Linked DNA regions of Coturnix japonica. The protein of the gene in region 1 interacts with the protein of each later gene in a pairwise test. Links are inferred from orthologs where the notes say so. Each region holds a gene or a part of one and is shown in the gene's direction. Other genes may lie near its edges.

Evidence for each region.
Region 2: the proteins of RBBP8 (region 1) and RBL2 interact in binary tests that used the Homo sapiens proteins (3 or more experiments, as listed by UniProt). The link is inferred for Coturnix japonica from reciprocal best matches to the Homo sapiens genes RBBP8 and RBL2.
Region 3: the proteins of RBBP8 (region 1) and LMO4 interact in binary tests that used the Homo sapiens proteins (3 or more experiments, as listed by UniProt). The link is inferred for Coturnix japonica from reciprocal best matches to the Homo sapiens genes RBBP8 and LMO4.
Region 4: the proteins of RBBP8 (region 1) and LIMS1 interact in a two-hybrid assay, tested with the Homo sapiens proteins (2 studies listed by BioGRID and IntAct). The two-hybrid records come from large-scale screens. The link is inferred for Coturnix japonica from reciprocal best matches to the Homo sapiens genes RBBP8 and LIMS1.
Region 5: the proteins of RBBP8 (region 1) and RBL1 interact in a two-hybrid assay, tested with the Homo sapiens proteins (2 studies listed by BioGRID and IntAct). The link is inferred for Coturnix japonica from reciprocal best matches to the Homo sapiens genes RBBP8 and RBL1.

The regions. Positions count from the first base shown.
Region 1 is NC_029517.1:92,790,390-92,794,350, forward strand, and holds part of RBBP8 (DNA endonuclease RBBP8), read left to right. Parts: intron 1-469; coding exon 470-567; intron 568-1,198; coding exon 1,199-1,326; intron 1,327-1,939; coding exon 1,940-2,825; intron 2,826-2,906; coding exon 2,907-3,033; intron 3,034-3,534; coding exon 3,535-3,632; intron 3,633-3,961. UniProt on the Homo sapiens protein: Endonuclease that cooperates with the MRE11-RAD50-NBN (MRN) complex in DNA-end resection, the first step of double-strand break (DSB) repair through the homologous recombination (HR) pathway.
Region 2 is NC_029526.1:4,019,163-4,023,123, reverse strand, and holds part of RBL2 (retinoblastoma-like protein 2), read left to right. Parts: intron 1-1,777; coding exon 1,778-1,906; intron 1,907-2,333; coding exon 2,334-2,494; intron 2,495-2,588; coding exon 2,589-2,653; intron 2,654-2,991; coding exon 2,992-3,178; intron 3,179-3,498; coding exon 3,499-3,665; intron 3,666-3,961. UniProt on the Homo sapiens protein: Key regulator of entry into cell division. Directly involved in heterochromatin formation by maintaining overall chromatin structure and, in particular, that of constitutive heterochromatin by stabilizing histone methylation.
Region 3 is NC_029523.1:13,758,155-13,762,907, reverse strand, and holds the start of LMO4 (LIM domain transcription factor LMO4), read left to right. Parts: upstream 1-1,917; 5' UTR 1,918-4,753. UniProt on the Homo sapiens protein: Transcription cofactor. Plays a role in establishing motor neuron identity, in concert with MNX1, acting, at least in part, to disrupt LDB1-LHX3 complexes thereby negatively modulating interneuron genes in motor neurons.
Region 4 is NC_029516.1:122,924,739-122,929,353, forward strand, and holds the start of LIMS1 (LIM and senescent cell antigen-like-containing domain protein 1), read left to right. Parts: upstream 1-1,632; 5' UTR 1,633-1,727; coding exon 1,728-1,909; intron 1,910-3,517; coding exon 3,518-3,677; intron 3,678-4,615. UniProt on the Homo sapiens protein: Within the IPP (ILK-PINCH-PARVIN) complex, binds to F-actin, promoting F-actin bundling, a process required to generate force for actin cytoskeleton reorganization and subsequent dynamic cell adhesion events such as cell spreading and migration.
Region 5 is NC_029535.1:560,197-564,157, reverse strand, and holds part of RBL1 (retinoblastoma-like protein 1), read left to right. Parts: intron 1-330; coding exon 331-380; intron 381-386; exon of another isoform or gene 387-558; intron 559-565; exon of another isoform or gene 566-2,050; coding exon of another isoform or gene 2,051-2,106; intron 2,107-2,956; coding exon 2,957-3,143; intron 3,144-3,786; coding exon 3,787-3,953; intron 3,954-3,961. UniProt on the Homo sapiens protein: Key regulator of entry into cell division. Directly involved in heterochromatin formation by maintaining overall chromatin structure and, in particular, that of constitutive heterochromatin by stabilizing histone methylation.

The DNA.
Region 1 (3,961 bases):
ACATTATTTCCCTAAAAGAAGGGAAACTCACATCTTGGCTTTCGTAGTAAAAATACAGGAATAGAAGTGTCACCGAAGAAATAACCAACACATTCATTTTTCTATAAATATCCAGTTTTCTTGTTCTACGTGTTGTTCTCAGATAGTTCATGCGCTGGACTGGAGTTTGAAATATAAGTTCCGCGTAGATTTGTATTTTAATTTTGGGGAATTTGATACCAACAGGAATTCTATGTCTGTGTGATAGTGCAGCAGTTTGTTCTCATCAGAAATGCTTTCTTCCCTCTGCTCCACTCATTGCTTCCATGTGATTCTATCTGAAACAGGTTAAGCTATTTCTATAATAATTAGATTTCAGTTTGTGATATTATTTTGTTTTAGTTTGGAGTCTGTATCCCTTGTGTAAGTAGAATATAATACTATATTTATATATGTAAGTTAGTAAGTGAATTTCTTTATATTCATAAAGATAAACCAAGGATGGGAGGTTATCCTGTTACAAAGCCATCTTTTAACTTGGCTGCGGTTGTTGCAGAAACAATTGGACTTGCTGTTCAGGATGAATCCGTAAGTATTACTTACAGTTTTCCCACATAATTAACTTTTTTGCCAGTTGTTTTGGAAAGAAATGTTTTTCAATTTGGCATTAAAATTCTGCAGAACTTATTTAGAGTTCCAGTAAGCTCACTCTAGCTTTCTTTTTCTTACGTAATAAAGGATTCCTATAGCAATAGGGAAGGTAACTGAGCTGACTTGTCTGCACTCAGAGGAGACTGGAGGGCTGTGGTTCTTGCTATGAACGTGTATTTCAAGTTTGACAAAGGCAGTGGCATAAATCTTAGGCACTGCTTGTGCAGTAATCAAGTCATAGCACACTAAGAAAGCTTACTTGGTGTTGAGACTCTTGATGTATCCATTGTTTTTGCTTTGTAAGTACAATTAAGATGATAGTACTTTTTTCCTTTAAGAAGAAATAGTACCTGTGTTTATATGTATGTATCTGAAGGAATTTTTAAGTTTCCATTAGATTTCTTTAAAAGCTGCTGGTGAAAAGTTAATCTTTTTTTTTTGTTACTTTTCAAGGTGAATGGTTATATTTGAATGGGGCTTTGGAGTACTTATGTCTAAATCTAGCATGCTTACAGACTTTAACAGCTTTTAACACTTCCATTCTTTGTTTTGCTTCATGATTTGCAAGGAGTCCCAAAGTGTACTGAGTTCTCCCCACGCTAGTACTGCGATGAACCAGGCTCCAGAGGGCATACGTTCTGAAGACTCAAGAAAGCACTCAGCTCCTGAATCAAGAAATGAAGACAACAGTTTGGGGTGTGTTTCCACTTGTTAAAATAATGTTGTTTTAAACAGTGTCTTCCTTTAAAGGTACAGACACAGATATAAAACTATTTTCATATTATACTGTTTTCTTTGATGTAAGTAAGTCACCACTAGAAGCAAAGGAACTGATAAAATGCAAAGCTGTGGACTTTTACTTCCCTTTCAGAGTTGTGCTTTGTGAGCTTTCGATGTACGCAGTCCTTCCCTGAATGATCTTCTATATGTTTTATTGATTGCAAGTGAAAACCAGAGCAGTTCCAAAACAAAACCAGAAAACCACAAGAAACCGAAAATAAAATTTTTACTCTTTCTCTTCTCTTGCAGAAGCTTTGAGAGTCTGTTGTCATGGTTATAAAATCTGTTCAAGAGCCTACATAGATTATTTTCTCAACCCTTCCCTCTTTCTACCATTTCACAGCGCTTAAAGGACAGTCCTTCAGTAGGAGAGATTCCTTTCTTCCTAGACCTAAAGCTTCCCTGTTCTTTTTTTCTTCTGTTTTCTGACAGCTTCTTGCAGATCATTGATGGAAAGTGCTTAGATTTTTTTTCCCTCTCTTTCTTTCCCCAACCACCAGAAAATGATTTAATCTCTTACTGTGTTCAGTTTTTCAGGTCCATCTCAAAACACTCCACCACGTGTTGACTGGGATTCTCAGGTAGTTTCTCCTGTTTTTGGAGCTTCTAGCAATACACGAAGCAACTCAAGTACAAGTCATGCGTCTTGTATTTTAGATTCTGATTCGAAGCATAATGTCAAAATCAACCTCTTCAACCATCCTTCCGGTTCTAGATCTCATAAAAATAGGTCAAAATCTGAAGATGTTGCTTTTGTCGCACCACTGAATCTTGGAACCGAAATCAATTCTGTTATCAGCCAAGTCTCTGTCAACAGGCAAATGGTTGTGAAAAAGAATAATAATGAAGTTGCAACTTCAGTTGGAAACACTTGTGCAGCTAAAAATGAGGTGATCAAGAGTGATTTCCTTCTCATACACCAGAAGCAGCCAGAGGGAAGGTGTGCAAAGAGAAAGAAAGCTGAAGATGAGAATGAAATTAGCTGTGAAAAAGCATCTTTCAACAAAGAGAACTCTGTACCCTTTCTATCAGATATTCAGCACGTTAATGGGGAACACACAGGCGATAAGCCCTTGGATCTGTCTGATCGCTTCTGTGGAGTTCGTTGTCAAGAGAAAAAACAAGGAAATGAGGAGACCTGTAAAAATAAACTGAAGCAGGTGACTCTGTATGACGTTTTTTTGCAGCTAGGGAAGCCCAATCATGAGGGTTCATCGTCAGTTCAGAATGCCAACAACGAGAGGAGCTTGTTTGGCAGAGGTATGCAAGAGGAGCCCTACATACAAGAGGCGGTGCTGGCAAAAACATTTGCAGATACAAAAAAACAGATCCAAATGAAAGAAGAAGTCCCTCCCTTAAAAATTACACCACTGCCAAGTACTGTAGACACAGAACAACTTTTTAATGATGTGAAGGTATGTTTTTTCTCAGTTTTTCTTCTCTTGAAATGCTAAATGTAAATATTGGGAAACAATAAAATTGCAATATGTTGTTAGGTTGCCAGTGACCATGTACCAAACAGAAAGAAAACAAGGACAGGGCACGGAGAGTCTGAACCAGCATCTGTACTTCAACCAAACCCCTGTAGACTATCAAAAAATAAAGTACAGCCAAATGAGCAAGGTAATTCTTCATTTTAGTACCTTATCCTCATGGTTTATGCTACAGATGAATAGAATTCTTTATATCCTGCCTTTTCCCACATTGATCATTTTTCTGCTTCATATTTAGTCATTTTCTGTTCTGTGCTTCTCAAGATTTTCAGTTATAATCTTCTGTATCTCATTAGGCTTTACTTTAGTAATATCTTTCCCATATTCTTTTGTCACTGTATAATGAATATATCATTGACATTCAGCTGTAAACTCAACAAATAATGAATAATATTATATCTCATTTATTTAGCATGTTTGTCTGCACAGTGCCTTACTGCAGCACATGAATTACAGCTAGCTTAAACTCAGGCTTCCTGAAATCCTATTTCACTGTCTTATTTATTTATGTTAATTTTTGTTTTAAAAAAAAAAAAAGAGAGAGAGAGAGAGAGAGAAACAACAAACCCTGAAATGTTTTCTCTGAAGATTCAGAGTTTGGTTCTGATTTGTCTTTTCTTGTCATATTCAGACCTGAAAGAAAAACCTTTAGAAAACCTTCAGTGGAGCATAGACCCAGGAGCTGACCTTGCACAGTACAAAATGGATGTAACTGTGATTGATACAAAGGTGAGCCATCGCTTTGCAACAGGTTGGCATGTTCCATAATGTTGGACAAAAAGACTTTAGAAGTAATATCATGACCTTCATTCCAGGCAGATAAAACCTACTTGCTAACTAAAATCAATTTGGGACACATGATGCTTTTTCATGCTCCTATATAATGTTTGTTTATTCAGTTATCCTGTAGCATTTCAACTGTCTTGTTGTATTTGATAGACTTTGCCATGTGGTGGGTATTCAGGGTGAAACAGATGGACTTGATGGTATCTTAGAATTTTGTTGAACAGAAAAATGTTTTAAATCTCATGATTTTTCCAGTATGTCTGGAATAGACT
Region 2 (3,961 bases), on another chromosome or scaffold:
CTGAAATACTGCTCCAGGGTTTGCTGTATTTTGGCGATTTAGGCTGTAATACTAAAAGAAAATCAGCTCAGAGTTGTAGTGAATTCATATTTTGATAGTTGTAATTAATGTAAATTATTGCTTTATGTTCCCTAGGAACAAAATGATTTTAATTTCCTTATAAGTTTCAAATAACAGTGATAATACATAATGGATTCTGTTCTGTAACACAGAACTGTGTCATGAGGCTGTAGCTGAGGGGACTTTCGAGGCACTCTCACAGGTAGCACTTGGATTTGTTCACCTAAGTGCCTGGCTGGAAGACTCAGATTCCCTTGGATCATACATGTGAAATGCTCTGTTAACAGGCTTCCCTGGAAACAAAGCAGGGAGGAGCCGGTATATTGCCGTGCAAGTATTGCCTTTATTGTAAGAGCACCCTTAAAGCTGATATGAATAGCAGAGGATTTCAGTCATTTTTCTTCTTTAATGACTGATTGGAGAAAAAGACAGAAGGGAATGGAAGTAAATCCTTTTGTATGAGGGGCAGTGAAGCTCCCCAGCATTTTTGGCTTAAGTTGTTCAGTTGTACAGCATCATCTACAGTAGGAATTGATTCGGGTACGGTCAGGATGGGTTCACTGGGAGTCCTTTGAACGTAAGTTAGGTCGTATTCTGGTCCTTCTGTAATTTCCAGGGAGTTGTTTTATTATTATAAGAACTTCATGAGAAAGGAGAGCTTGTGGGACTGCTTGGGATTGCAGGGTCAGTCAGTGTAGGCTTCCTGCAGTATCTCCCTGGTTGTTTCTGAGGATAGGACGCAGTACGTTGTCTCACTATGGACTTTCTGGCAGTAGCTCTGTCCTGTACAGCTGAGCCTTTCTATTCACCACCAAGCAGAGCGCTGCCAGCAGGCTTCATTTGGGAAAAGTCACTGGCAATATCCCTGGATCTTTGCAGGCATGTGAAGAAAGGTGTGATGCTGTACCAAACAACTGTGTCCTGTGTAGAAGCTGCTTCATAGGCTGCAAGTTGCTCCTGAACAGGCACAGAGGGTCTGGGCAGGTCTTGTTCCTGCTGAGTGTTGGTTGGTATGTTTGAGTAAGCAGGTCATCATTAAGTACGTGTTGACTGGCAAACAGTTTCAGACGTACAGATTAACTCTGTGGACTGGAACACAGTGTTGATAACAGCCCATTAATTTTATGAGACAAACAATTACAGTACTTATGAACTGCAAAATTAATAAGTGACGAGTGGTACCTTATGAAGTGTGGCAGTACAACAATGTGAAGTGAATGTGCACCACTGGAGGAATTGAATATTCCCCATTTGTTTGCTGTGTTTTGAGGGCCGGCAGTAATCCTTAGCGTGGCAACCACACATCAGCAGCAAGTTGAGGCTTGTCGCCGTGATATTTCTGCAAACCTCAGCATCTTGTGTTTGGTTTCACAAGTCAGAAAGCGTCAGTCTTGTTCCTGCACTTGGTGTATGCTGCAAAGGAAGGTAGTGACCCTTGTGGCCATAGAGCTGCTCTCATCTGCTGAACTTATTTATAGACTCTGATCAGAAAACTGAACATAAAGGTGAACAAACGCAATGATATGTGCTTTGTTTTAGCTGTGTCTGTTTTACTCCCTGTGTTTCGATCCAGATATTGACAATCCGGTCACCAAAATCTGTGCTTAAAATACTCCACTGTTGATTGGAAATGCAAATCTTGATAGTTCTGTTTTGTGAAATAATTTCAAGTCTATGCTGCTTTTAATTAATCTCATTTATCTTTCTTGTTTTGAAGGTAATTTTCCCATGATCAGTGATGACTTGGTCAATTCCTATCATCTCTTGTTATGTGCTTTGGATCTGGTGTATGGAAATGCTCTCCAGTGCCCCAACCACAAAGAACTTCTGAATCCCAATTTTAAAGGTATGTTGGGAAAAAAAAAGTCTTTATCTAAAATCTGCACAAACCTCTGAGGCTGCTGAAATGGATGTGAAGGTGGGCGGTAGGCAGAATGGTATGGTTCATTTTCAGTACTGTGTTGTATTGTATTGTATTTACTGAATAAATAATACTGAACTTATTTGAATAAATATTACAGCTCATAAGTGCTTCATCATTTGTCTATTAGAACCGATGCTATTTATCACTGAATATCTGAGCTCTTTGGGTTTGTCACTTGAAAGGCAGTTCTGATAAGATTATCCAGTTGAGGGTGTACAGCTTTTCTTTCGAGGGGACAAAATAGTTTTCTGTTTTAATTTCAGGCTACATGGGCATCATAGCAAAGAATGTGAGTTCACTAAGGTATGACTATTCGGAATCAAACAGTACTTCCTTTGTCTCTCTATAGGTCTGCCTGAAGACTTTCACAGTAAGGATTATAAAACATCATCTGACCCCCCCTGCATCATTGAAAAGCTGTGTTCATTACATTACGGATTAGTTTTAGAAGCAAAAGGCATCAAGGAGCATTTTTGGAAGCCGTACATTCGGAAACTTTTTGACAAGAAGGTTGGTGGGTGCATTCAGGATGCAGAAAATGCTTCTCTACTTGTTGTCTTCAGAACTTTAACGACTGCCGTGTCTCCGTTCTTTGCTCTTTCAGCTCTTAAAAGGAAAAGATGAAAATCTGACTGGATTTCTGGATCCTGGAAACTTTGGAGACAGCTTGTGAGTCAGCTTGTGCTTTGGTCTGCATTTGTGTCCCTTTGGGTTATTACCTGTATCTTATCACTAATACTAGCTAGTTAATTTATAGATATATTACTATTTATATATTATATTAAAAGGCATTTCAGCTCTTTGCTGGTTGAGGCCTTTTCAGCATAGCATTGCTCGATGTCTGCTCTTGTTCATGTTTCCATGGTCTTTTCTATACGATGTAAAGCGTTAGGAAGAAAAAGCAAGTTCTGAGGCCTTCAGATAGGCCAAGAAGTGTGTTCAGTCAGAAAGCAGGTAGTGAAAGCGCTGTCTAAACTAAAGGGCTTTTTTTCTCTTTTCCCCTGTAGCAAAGCCATCAACAAGGCCTATGAGGAGTATGTCTTGTCAGTAGGAAACCTCGATGAGCGAATATTCCTCGGGGAGGATGCAGATGAAGAAATTGGAACTCTCACACGGTGCTTAAATACACCCTCAGGAATGGAAACAGCTGAGCGAGTACAAGTGAAGCATAATTTACAGCAGCACTTTGACAGAGTGAGTCTGGCACAGTCCTTTGATGTTCCTGTGGAGAAGGAGTTGTCCAATTGTGGCGTTTCAGCGTGAGGTCATTTTGTCACTGCTCAGATACTTCTGTGTTAGTATTTGACACAGGCATCCAAGCCACAGATAGACCTGATGCTGATGGTTGTTACTGGGAGAGAACTGGTTTGGGTTGTTTGATTCCAGCTCTCCTTTCATAGATAGATATATATTGTAACCAGCTAAGAAACAATTCTAGCACCTGACACTTTAAGTCTCTTACAAGGTCTGAGTGCTGTAATAATGTACAGAGAGATGCTTTGTTTTCTTTCTAGTCTAAATCGCTTCGGATGTCGACCCCCCTCACTGGCCGCAAGTACATTAAGGAGAGCAACCCCTATGTGACACCCATTTCCATAGCAACGTACAGCTTGAGCCGCCTTCACACCATGCTGGCGGGGCTGAAAAATGCCCCCAGTGAAAACCTGGAGCAAATCTTCAGGTAACTTTGATGCTTAGCTACAAAAGTTAGAAACTATAATAACAAATGTGAAATAGCGTAACTTAAAAGGTAAAGTGTTGGAAGCCTGGAGTGAAATAGGAGCCAGAGGGACATTCAGCTTCAGAAAGGCTCTTGTCTTTATTTCTGCACGTTTATCCTTGAGAGATCGACAGTGATAACAACACCCAAATTTGGAGCTTCACTAACAGCAAACTGCCATTGCAATTTTTTCAAGCCTTTTCTTATTAATTCACATTGGAATACGTTGTTTAGTATTAAACTCTTATGACGAGTTG
Region 3 (4,753 bases), on another chromosome or scaffold:
CATTAGTAGTTAATAGGGGGACGCCCCACCTCCAGATTTCAAAAGGTTAATGAAAATCAAGTATCTTGCCTTTACTGGGAAACTTGGAAAGCTTCCCACCAAACATTTCTGTTTTTGTGATAAATAAGCCAGACCGCTTCAGCTGAGAAAGACGGGTGTTTTGCTAATGTGTACAGCTGTTAATTGAAAAAGATTCTGTTATGCCTGTTCTTCTGGACATAGATAAAAGAGAGATTTGTTGGTGAACTTTAGTTGGTCCTGAACACCCCTTTGTCCAAATACACTGCTCAATAATAACGCTTTGTTCTGTCTGTAACAGCCATGGAAGGATTTTGAGTGGAATACTCATTTTCTTTAAGTCATATCTGCCAGTGATCATTCTTGGCTTAAGATCAGCTGCCATTTATGTGTTTTATGAAAATATAACACCAGTTTTATGCTCAAAACTATTCTTTTTTAGGTAAAAGCTTCAGCACAAACTGGTTCCCCATATGTACCATAAATGCTATTTATCACAGGTTTTGGTCTTTAAAACAGAAAGATAATGTTAAAACATTTTCATTATCCTTTCCTTACAGCTATCATTCACAAACCATCTTTTATAATTATGGCACTAGGACATTTACATAACTGGGAAAAAGGTCCTTAAACTACATTTCTATTATGTTTGGCACTTGTGTGAAAGGATATTATATTCATGTGCATTAGAGATTGCTTATAAAAGATCAAGACAATAATAGCAGATCAGACGATAAAGGTTCCCTTTTCTCCTCCCAGACAGGCTGTCTCTGACAGAAGAATACAGTTCATCAAAAGTGTCTGCAGGTTGTCAAACTCAGTGAGATTTGGGGACACTCGGAGGCTGTCATGGCCAACAAGAAGATTTTCTGTAGGGTTCTGCCATCATTCACCCTCAGGAAATAATCACTCACTACATTCTGCATGCTCTCATGATAGAGCTCTATTTGAGAGAAAAGAGCCATTTTATCAAAGGACAATATATCCCTTCTCTTGGTCCATGCAGCTTCCATTATCAGACTATAATAAATCATATTTATGTTCTCAGTTAATAAGACTGATTACAATGCAGGTTACAGGCATGGGAAAAGCAAAGCAGGTGAAAAGATGTTTTAATGAAAATATGATAAGCAAACAGCTTCTTGTGAACATTTCAGGCTGTTATTTGTAATGATCACAGGCATTTTTTGATACATCTTCCTTAGCAATGGTTTAAGCTGCATAAATTGGCTTGCCACTTTATACGTCGAAATAGGAAGAATCCCAATGTCCTTCTCATGTTGTCTGGAATCATTATATACATTATAAGCATAAAATGAGTTTAATGTATGTGCTTTGAAAAGAAGGGGAAAACAGAAAATCAGGGAGGACTGATTTTAATGCTGCTCAAAATGATTTTGAAATTTTCTGCTCATCTTTGTTACTAACGGAGCATTTTCCATGAAATTTAGGAATGACATGTGGTGCTTTCATCTCCTTAAAATTAATATACTTCTCTTTCTGTTTTTCTCAATTTCTTCAAAGTTCTTTTTAGAACACTGTGCAAAGACAGAGAGAAAATTCTCCACTCGATGTGTGAACATATCTGTTATTAGTGCTGGGGGGAGTTAAGTGTGTGCTTCTAGAGGAGAATATAGCTCTGCATTAAATACTGGAGTAAACCCTATTAAAAAGGTGCAGGGATATTTAGCTGCAGCACACCTGATGCATTCAAAGGCCAAATTCCTTGGAATCTTTTAAAGTGATTAAGATCTCTTTTGTTAAGAATTCTCCAATGATTTCAGAATGTAACTGTACCTAAATAGCTGATAAAATGTCCTGCTCTTGTCTTGCCAAAAGCTTTCTTTTATGTTTTATTGTTGCTTTTTTTTTTTTTTCGTAGTCATTTGGTTTATGTTTAGCATCATACTTTCAAGACAAAGTTAAAAATTTAGAGAATAATTTCCTCCTGCTAGCACATAACGCTGACTAAGTACATCAAAATCTACAGCACTTGCAGAATGCGAACATTATGCTTATAATGTATATAATGACTCTAGACAATATTAGAGGGACACTGGGATTCTTCCTATTTTGACAAAGTGGCGAGCAAATGCAGAAGTCTCTGTGGTGTTGTGTGTCTGCAGGAGCTGTTCTGGTCACTGACACTTCTAAAACTCTCTTAAATAAATGTTAAAGCGTTGTAATGGGCCTGGCAATGGAGAATGACCATGAAATTTCCTTAACCCTCTTAGGGTGCTTCAGCAGAAGTGATCTCACAAGAAACAGTAAACTGCTCTTCAAAGGCAGTATCCTGATATGACAACAGATGTAGATAATGCACTTCATGATGGAACTGCTTGATACAGAGAAAAACATGTTGTAACTGCCTTCACCGTGAAAGGGGTTTAAAAATGCTGCCTGCCAACTCCACAAAAAAACAGAGCTGCTATTTCAGTTAAAGGCCAGTGGATTGTATTTTTCATGTCAGTTTTCACTAACCTCAAACATCACTGTTATGACAGACTGTCAACCAACCAAACCAGAACTGTGGTGCCATTCAGGCAAGAAGGAAGAAAGCAAACACAAAGGAAACTTAGAAGTCCAAATAGTAAGAGGGGGTGCCTATGAGTGCACTTTTGTGCAGTGATACTGATTACTGAAAATGAAACACTTAAAAGAAAATAAACCCAAAAAAGTGCTTTCTGAGCCATTAGTGTTTTCTTGCCTGGCAGTTTCTCTTTGTTCTGTTTCATGACATCAGCCTCGGTGGTTGAAAGGGTGTTCTGGGCCAGATGTCAATCACACTGTCTGACATAAACAAAAATAGCTAAAAAGACATGCCAGCATCTTCCTTTTGTTTTCCCATTAGCTCCATTTTTCTTTTCAGAGGCTGACAAAAAATTACTGCCTCCGAGTGAATTCAGTAATGTCACTATATATCTAATATCTAGGAGACCTTTTGTTTTAGCTTTACTGGGCTTAACCACAAAAGACACTTGACATTGACAAAGAGTCTGTCAAATACACAATGATCAGTGCAATGAAATCTCTCATGACAGAAGGGCACTATTCTGCACCCCCAGCCTGCAGCAGCCTGTCTGAGCAAAATGTGCTGGAGCACACACAGCAGCTGAACCATTGCAGAGCAGGCCATAAGCTGAGATGTGTCTTGTTTAAAGTGTCATAGTATATTAGTGTAATTAAAACCGCCAAAAGAATAGAAAAGATAGATGGAAATGTTACATTACTTGTTTCTAGAGATTAACCTCCAGCCAGAACTGAAATACAGAGACACATTTTGCATGTCTTAGAGCTCAGATATGGAAGAAAACAAGCCTGAGAGTATGTCTCTTGAAGTGTGAGACATGAAGTCATAGTTCCTGTATTTACACAATAAAGCAGAAATAGCATTTCAGACAGGCACGCTGTTTTCTCTCTGATTACAGCTCCTGTTGTGGCTGTACTCTGCAAAGCAGCTGTATCATCTCTCAGCTACTTCTATTTTACTCTCTCTGCCTTCGTTCTTGGAAGATCTTGAGGACCCTTGTGCTGGTGTCAATGCCTTCTGCTCCCTTGGCATCTGCCAGAGTTGTGTGGGCCCCGCCTGGAGGCAGAGCACCCTATTCCTGCCGGTGGCTGCAGAAGCCACAGCTCAGCTCCAGGCTCAGCAACACCCAGCTAGGGAGATGTCTGAAGAGTGGCTTCAATATGACCTTTATATGCCAGGCTGCATGCTTGCTTCTCTGCTGATTCTATAGATAAAACTGTATGGCTTTCTGAAGTTGACCCTGAAAATTATGTTCCCAGCACTGCATGTTTTCCTTCCCATGCATCATTACCTGTGATAACTATTCAAGCCTAACTAGTTATGAACTCTGTTTCTAACCATGACACAAGTTAAATCTGTTGGTAAAAAAGCCTTGAAGTTTTTGTGGACCTGTTCTGCTGTATAGTCTGAACCTTGGTTAATCCAGAATCTGGAGAGGACATGATCTGGCTTCAGCAGTTCTGAAACACTGCAAAAGCAGCATGGCTTTCTTCTAACGTAAGCCTTACATTCAAGGAGAAGATGCATTAATCACGTAGGTCTCATGTTCATTTCTTCCACTATAAATGAACTTCAAGGCTTTGCCCCATTAGTTGGTCAGTTTGAAGTTAAGAGATGTTAAATATAGGCCTTACATTTTCGGTTTCCTCATACTTCCTCTATTTCCCAGCTTTAAATATCAGTTAATGACTTCTCCATATAACAGTACTCTTTAATTTCTGGTCAGAGGCTGTAAATGTGCACTGTTAGTCAAAAATATGTTATCTGCATTTAGTGTTGGCTTCTGGAGCCTTCACCACCAAGTTACCTCACAGTCGCATCTCTCTTCACGTGATTTTCCAGGTACTGCCAGGAGAAGAATGGAAAATGACTATGAAATAAAAGCACATTCTGCTCCCATTACAGGCAATGAAAACTGTGCTTTTACTTCTACTTACTCATAATGGTGGGGGGAAAAAATGAAGTGGAAACAAGCACAACAAAACACCTCTGCCAGCTATCTATAAGCTAACCAAGGCTTCCACTAATGAGGTGGTCTGGCATTTTGAGAAAGACGGGTTTTTCCAGAAATGGAAAAAATATGCTGTTTTTTTCCTTCAACTCTGAGAGCTTAGTGAGAGAGTAAGAAATTGCATTTCAGAGGGATAGCAAACTTTTAATGCTCTCAGTATTATTTAATACTTACAGACACCAGTGTAGTTTCTT
Region 4 (4,615 bases), on another chromosome or scaffold:
GTGAAGATACAGAGGGTCTTAGTCAGCCCGGTGTAGATCATAGCAGCAAAGTGACAAAAAAAGAGAGAAAGATGATCAGTTACTGTGCCTTTGTGGATTACCAGACCATCCCAGTAGAAACTATGTTTTGTTTTGGTAGCCTGAAGGCCCTTTTTAAACTCCTGGCAAGCTCCTTTCTTCCCTCCCGGGGAAGGAGTCAGGAGTAACTCAGTTGGCAGCAGTGCCAGCAGCCTGCAGAACAAGTCTGCTTTAGCCAGAAGGCACATCGGGGAGCACAGAAGACATGGGTGCTGCAGCAGGAGGAGGAGAAGCCTTTCCCTCCAGCACTGCTTCCCACAGTGCTGCACCAGCAATGTCATCATGACCTATAGCTATGACCCAAGCAGTGCTTCGTCTAGAGCTTGCCCCACAGCAGATAAATATAGGGCTTGAGCTCCAGCCTCCTCAACCTGTTACAACCTGCGGCTCCTGATGATCCTAAGATGGATAATCAGACCTGTGTGTGCATAAACACACAGGTCATGCTGCCTTGGCCCCACCTGCCATGATGTCTTGTGACACACGGGAGCAGCTTGCTTGGAAGCCACCAAGGGGAATTAAAGGGAAGAACCCTGACCAAACCCATTCCTGAAATCTGGCCTGTTTGCTTTTGCTTTCCAGAAGAAAATCTGTAGCACTGCATTGGCCAGGCCATGGGAAGACAGTGATGTGTGAGCCCAGGTTTGAGCTGAGAGCATCATGTCCTCTGCTGGGCACACACTCAGTTACCTCAGCCAGTGCTGAGACATGTGGTGCAGAGCTCAATCAATGCTCAAGAATGAGTTTAATTTGCTAGGTTTTTTAGATTTTTGAAGAGAGCATAACTGTAAAATAATCGCAACATTGGGACGGTTTTCTGTGGTGAAGGAATGATTCATTTTCACTCTTGCTTCTTTCTTCCTGGTCTTGCTTTCTCGCTTTCCTGATATCCACAGTGCATTACTTCAGTGTTCAAATCTATGGAGCATCCTCGTGTTCGGTGATTGTTCTAAATGCAGCACAGTACTGAAAATCACGCTCCGTTTCATTTCCTTCATCTATTATAGCATACTTGGCACTTCAGTTAACAGCCTGTGAGGCAAAACAGAAAACAAACTGGCCCTCTGTATCTATGCTTTCTGTGAAGTGCTGATGAGAAGGAAGGTGCCTATAGATAAATGCAGCATATATACCTTAGAAGGTATAAGTGGAGCATTAAAAGGCCATTTTTACAGTGTGATTAATATGCCCAAGCATTGAAACAATATTTACCTAATGACAGAAGCCTCTTCTTCATGCTGGTTAGCCCATGACAAAGCCTTGTTGGAATCCACATCCATCCCCTCAGCAGACATAAGCCTGCGGACAGGTTTGCTGAGGAACACCTTGGATCACATTGGTTGCTCACAAAACAGCTCTCCGGGTCCAAGAGGATTTCTCCATCAGCAGCCAGCAGCAAAGCCCCTTTCTAGCATCTGGGTGTGCATGACAGCCCAGTGCTGGAATGTGCTCCTCTGCAGCACAGCTTTTAACTTGAAGCTCTGGCAGGGTGCTGGGTAGCTCTGGCTCAATGACACAGAGGCGCTGAAAGTTAGTCACTTGGTTTGAGAACAAGGGGAAGCCCGGCGCATTGTTCTGCTGCCTTTGCCTCCAGCTCCCTCGCGATATAAGCACAGAATATATATACCCGTGATAACAGCTAGAGGAACATGGACTTCCAGCGCAGAGGTTACCCCTATGCGATCCCGGAGAATGAAGAGATCGCTTACAGCGTCTCTCACAATGCCTACAACTCAACGGGAAATGAAGGCGAGAAACCAGTGTCGAAACTGCAGCGTAGGCACAGTGACGTTAAACTCTACAAAGAGTTTTGTGACTTCTACGCAAAATTGTAAGTCCGCGCTGCTCAGCTCTGGGCTGTAACCGCGGTGACATTATTGGCATATGGTCACTGTGTTTTTTACCGTCTGGGCTCTGTAAGCCATTCTCTAAGGCAGCCTTTACCACAGCTCTGTGTCTGATATGTTGCCAGTTGTAATCATCAACTAGAATTTGAGCTGGTGCTGTGAACTTAATCAGTGATTGCGTCAGACGTTTTTATCAGGGGTTGAAGCAGGGTTGGCATTTGCCAAGTCGTCTCTGACTTCAGATTGTTTGCTTGTTTTGGGCGAACGTGTAGGCTGTTTCACTAATGCAGGACTGTTGCATGCATCACTGTTTTTACATACGTGTTTTTACTTGGATTACGTTTTTTCTCCGACAGCACTTAGTATTAAGTAACTTGTAAGTTTAGCACCCTTAATACTCAGGAACTGGTGAGGTGATGGTGAGGCTCGTGGTTTATGTTGTGAATACTGCTTGTTCAGATTAACGCAGAGTACGGGTGAAGTGTCTGACGTTTTTCCCCCTTCAGAAAACATACGTAATCCATGTAGACCATTGGCTAACTGTATGCTTAGCTATACTTTATACAAATAATCAGTGCTGTTTTTCAGTATGCTGATACTCTTAAGTATGAAATAGACCCTTCCTCAGCCTGACCCCCTTTGTGAAATTTGGCCACTCGTTGTTTCACTGTGAGGACAGTGACCCTTTTTTGGTACTGGGGCCTTAATTAAGTGTAAGACATCTGTACTGACTGTTGTATGTGTGAACACAATCCTAGTGAAGCTGCTAATCCCCTTGATACTTTGCAGCTATCACACTCATTCTGTGGTCACATGCCTTTGTGAAGCAACCAAAATTGCTATTTATTTGAGCTTTTATTTTGCATCACCTGTTTGCATTGCCCTATGCCTGGGTCATGGTGGAGCACCCCAGCACTGCAGCCAGAGTATTTCTACCTTCTCCTTGTCCTTGGTCTGGTGCTGAGGAGCTGCAATCTGCTTTTATGGAGATGAACCCTAACAAACCAACCAAAGATCCTATGACTTTATTATTTCTACAAGTTGTGCATAGCTTGAAGTGATTTTACAGTTTTGTTTACCTGCTGTGGTTTTCAGCAACCTACCATGTATAATATTTTAAACTCTTCCACACTGCTTGTTTAGAGCTTTTGAATTAATGTTGTATTCTGTTGTATTCTCGTATTCTAGAATTGTGAATTATTTTAGAATTAGCCTTCGTATTTTCCAATGTGAGGTCCTTAATTATTGGGAATTATTAGTAATAGGTGAACGGTTGGACTGGATGATCTTTTAGGTCTTTTCCAACCTTGGTGGTTCTATGATTCTATGGTTCTCCTCATAAAGAGACAGCATCTGTAACAATGACCAATAGTTATTATAACGCATTGATTTTGTTTCCAAAGAGTTTGGAGCCAGAAGGAAACAGTTTTATTTCTAAGGGATCACCACAAGTCATTAAGTTCATGGAAAGGTTTTCACTGGACAGCTTAGCATTAGGCTGATGCCATTGGCTTTGGAAAAATATAGAGAACCAGAATCAGTTGTGCTGCCTTTGGAACTCATTTTCTTTCTGTTTCTTGTTTTCATGACAGCAACATGGCAAACGCACTCGCAAATGCCATCTGTGAGCGCTGTAGAGGGGGCTTTGCGCCAGCAGAGAAAATCGTCAACAGCAATGGCGAGCTGTACCACGAGCAGTGCTTCGTGTGTGCCCAGTGCTTCCAGCAGTTTCCGGAAGGGCTCTTCTACGAGGTAAGCTGGGAGAAGTAATTACAGGCTGATCGATACCTTAGCAACTGCTATGGAAGAAATGGAGTTCCAAAAGATTATGCCTTTTAGAGGGGAGAAGGAAGAAGAAATGTTTCCATGGCTGTTTGGAGCATATCAGTGCGTATAACCTTATTTAAGTGAGGAAAGAACTACTGGAGATTCCTCTCCCTCTGCAGATTTTTTTTCATACATATACATTTCATTTCATACTATATATTAATCACAGAATCACAGAATTGTAGGGGTTGGAAGGGACCTCTAGAGATCATCAAGTCCAACCCCCCTGCCAAAGCAGGTTCCCTACACCACGTCACACAGGTAGGCGTCCAGGTGGGTCTTGAGTATCTCCAGAGAAGGAGACTCCACCACCTCCCTGGGCAGCCTGTTCCAGTGCTCCGTCACCCTCACTGTAAAGAAAAATATTGTATCAGAAATACAGGGAAAGCATTCTTCTTAGAATAGAGTTGTCAAAGGGAAATCCCAGCATCCTGCAGTCTTTAGGAGGTTTATTGCTGAGTGAGTGAGTGAGGCCTGCACAGCTTCTGAAATATCACTTGACCTGTAAGCCATCATGCTGAGGTCAAGGTGCGTTGACAGCCAAAATCAGATGAGGCCTGAGTCAGGTAAACCCAGAGTTTAATATACTTTCAATGGAAAACCCCACTCACCTTTCTTTAACCCTAGGTGTAAGGAAGGGTAGAACATGGGAGACAGGCAGTTATTACCTGAGGTTTGTGGATGGCTAACTGAGGCTCTAACAGATTAAAGGCAAAGTGCACACAATTATCAAATGTTCAGTTGCTTCTGAAAATTCTGTTCTAACCCACTTTCACATGCAGTGCCCATCATTGTGTCAAGAGCACAACATTTAATCTTCCACAGGGGTATTCTTAATTATACAGAGTCATGCTGTATGGTTA
Region 5 (3,961 bases), on another chromosome or scaffold:
TGTGGTTTTGCTCCTGGAGGTATTTCTAAGCTCCGTGGAGATGTCTCTATTTGCCCAGTAGGTTCCTCCCTGCCGAGGGGCAGAGGTAACAGCACAGCTCCAGAGTACTGCATTTACTACAGGTTGGATAGACCTGAGCTTTGACCTGGCCTGTGCCTCTTACCAGCAGCATTGTGCTGCTTTGGTCTTGGCTAAAGGAAAGGTCTGTTTAATGCTCCTTGTGCTTTTGGTAAGGGCCGACTTGCTGTCGCATTGTTGAGGTGGGATGGTTTTGATTTGTTATGTAAGATGTTTCTGCTTTCTTTTCTTTTTTTTTTTTTTTATTCTTAGATCTTAAAAGGAGAATGTCTGTTGGATCTTTGCAATTTTACAGAAAATAAGTAAGTTATGGATTGCGGTTCTAATCATGGACTTGGGTTTTGTTTCTTCAGTTTCTCTGAATGCTAACTCTCACTTTTTCCATGTCTTACTTTGTCTCACTGCTTGCGGTGATTTGAGAACCAATGCTGTTACTTGCCTAAATGCCTCCTGGGTCTGAGATGGCTCCAGTGTCAGAGGGTGAGCTACAGAGTTTCTTCCTTAATGTCAGGTCACAGAAAGGTGCTCAGGCCTGGAGCAGCTGCTCAGGTCAGGGCAGAGCTCCCCATCCCTACCGGAATATTGCAGTTGTGTGGATGTGGTTTAGTGGTGGGCTCATAGTGCTGCCTGAGGATAGAATTTGATCTTTAGGGTCTTTTTCCAGCATAGATAACGCTGTGTTGTTCTGGCAGCTGTTAAGTTTTGTGTAGTCTGATGCAAATCAAAGCTCTGAAGTGCATGGATATGTTAACTATGCATACCTCAATATTTGTATGTGAATAGGGAGGTATTTAGGGTTGTTTATTAGTCTCCAGTTCAGTGCCTAAATCTGTGAATGCAGTGGGAGAGCTCAAAAGAAAGAGGAGCAACAGCTGCAGAACCACAAAAAAGCACAGAGGTTTCAGGGGAGGTAAGTGAATCTGTGCAGGAGCTTCTGACATTAAGTCTCAAAACTAATTTAAATGAGAAGATTTGTTCTGTTTTGTTCTGGATCCTGTCAAGAGCTTCTTCCTCTGCCAAACGCAGCTGATAATTCATTATTGCAGGGTGAGGTTTGAGCTGGTCTGTTTGCTTTCTGAGAAGCGTGAGCAGTGACTGCACCGCTGTAACGGTGTGGATCGCATTCAGATGTGGAGGTGCTGCCCTGATCCCTATGGAGCAGTGAGCTGTGCTAGTGTTCCTGCTTAAAGAGTGATAGTATTGATAGTTCCTGTTGTGCCAAATAAGGCAGTGTTCCCTATTCTTTATTAAATGATATCTGAGGAAACCAATCTATGTCTGCCCAAACAGAAGGCTCCGCAGCCTTTGAGAGGTTAAATGTTCCTCTTCCACGCACAGGTTGGCTGGAATTGAGAAACCAAAGGGGTTGTTCACTATCATGGATGTCAGTGGCGACTTGGGGCATTGAAGCTTCAATTTCCCTTCCTCTGTGCTGTTGAGGGAGGATGCCACTGAGCGCCAGGCAGCCAAATCAGAGCTCAGAATTAGTTCACTTAATGCAACCCCTGCTGCTCTGCTTGGACAGAGCTTTAACTACTGATGGGCTCTTTCAAAGCTGTTTGTCCCTGGGGTAGAAGCACGTTTTCTCCCTGTGTGAGCCCAGTGACTTATAATCAGGATGAGTTTTTTGTTCAGTGAGTTTTCACAGTGGGACATATTGGAGTTCAACTCATTTAAGTTGTTCGTGGTGAAGAAATCAGAATCTGCTAGGAAACTTGAGCAGCAGCAGGGACCTGGCAGATACAACACTACCTGATGTTAATGGAGCTCAGTCAGCCTGCAGTTGTTTTGATTTGGGAATTTCTGTCAACATTTTATATCCTGCACTTAGACTTCTCCTGTGCCATGGAGGCAGCTCCATTCACATCTAGATTCCCTTCCTTTTGAAGGACTTGCCCTCCATCTCACAGGTGTCTCCAAGTTCTGTTCCAAAAACAAGTGTCATCTCACTGCATGGGCACAGCACCTTCACATGCAATTCAGAACCCAACCTGTGCAATCATCTGACTTCCCTGAATACCAGCACTGGTACAGTACATCTCTTTCCATTCCCAGTCCAGAGTGATTCCATTTTCTTTACACATTACTATGAAATTTTCTATCTGTTCACTTTGCAGCACAGAGGGGAATGGGTACAAGAAGGGAATTGGGAAAAAGGCTTTGGCAGCCTTAGAGTGAGTCACCAAGTACCTCATGGTCCCACATTCCATGTTTATCTACTAGGTTTTCAAAACATTTGGGAGGATTTCTCCTGTTTCCACACAGTAGAGAGCATGGAACTAATTTAATGCTAATTATCATCTAAGAAAGGCAGTTCTTTTTTCTACTTCCTTAGGAAAGAATAAGGGAAATGTAAGATTTCTGAAGATGTCCATGTTAATGGTGTTTGAAGCACATGCATCTTCATTTGGCAGGTTTCAATCTAAAATTTCTGGATCAGCAGATGGGAAAATTGTCCAGAAAAGCATGATTCTCTAGATAGATAGATAGGTAGATAGTGTGTGAAGTAATTCAACTGTGGAGCCTGCTGCCATGATTTCAGCAGTGTCTGAGATTAGTGCACTGTGTGGGCATCCCTGCCCATGGTGGGAGCAGCTTGGAACAAGGCGATCTTTAAGGTCCCTTCCAACCTGATCCATTCTATGGTTCCATGAAGCACTGGTGGGAGAAGAACAGGCCGTGCAGTGCACTGCTGTGGGAAGCCTGGAGCTGAAGGCAGCCAAGGAGGGGCTGTAAGCAGGCTGCTCGTGTAGGGAAGCTCCATGTACAAGCACTGCTGTTACTGAGAGCATTAGAAGCTTTGAGTTTGTGTTGGCTTCAGTTTATGTGTTTGTTCAGCAGCTTAACTTTCACTGTAAAACTTTGACTTCTCTTCCAGCAAAGCATTGAATAAAGAATATGAGGAGTATGTTCTAACAGTGGGTGACTTTGACGAGAGAGTTTTCCTTGGAGCGGATGCAGAGGAAGAAATTGGAACTCCTCGAAAGTTTCCTGCAGATTTGCAAATGGGGAAAACAGCAGCAAGAGCTCACGTGGAGTGTCACCTTCAGCAGCACTTTGAAAAGGTGGTTCGTGGAACTTGTTTTCATGGGGAAGTACTCCTAAGTTTGGAGTCAAGTTTTCCTATCATTGTACGCAGTTTAAATCCCTGAGCCGACTTGGAAAAGCTGCTTTCCTTGGGTGGTTCACTGGGATGAAGGAGGTGAAAGACATTTGTAGGTTTAATCGGGCAGTCTTGCTAAGAGAAATTGTGGTGTCATCTTTGTTACGTAATGCAGTAAATAACTGCTCCTTAAGCAGGGTGGGAGCCTGTGAACTACTGCTGTTTTGTCCAGGAGAAATGTCTAGGTAGTTGAGACCTCCATACACAGAGTTATTTCGTGCTTCTTTTATACCCAGTAAGAATACCATGAAACCTTTCATAGGGCAAATGAGGGCAATGATAGAGCCTTTATTTGAGAAATGGGCGCTATAGGAAAAGATATCAGAAGGAATTAACTCACACCTCCCAGTAACAGCTTGGAGAAAGGGAGCCCAGCATTAGGAGGAGGAACTCGTTATTCTGAAGTTCTGAGGGCGTGGATTTGGCAGCCTTCCTTGGCAGAGTTTTAATGGTGCTATTTAAATCTTAGAAGTGATTTTGCAGGAGTTGCTCTTTTTGCACCAATTCTCTTAGATTTTTTTATTGATTATCCATCTCTCTCACAGAAAAGGTCATTTGCACCTTCAACACCTCTGACTGGAAGAAGGTACCTACAAGAAAAGGAAGCTGTCATCACTCCTGTTGCTTCAGCCACACAAAGTGTGAGCCGGTTGCAGAACATTGTGGCTGGGTTGAAGAACACACCCAGCGACCTGCTTATGGCCATTTTTGAGTAAGTAC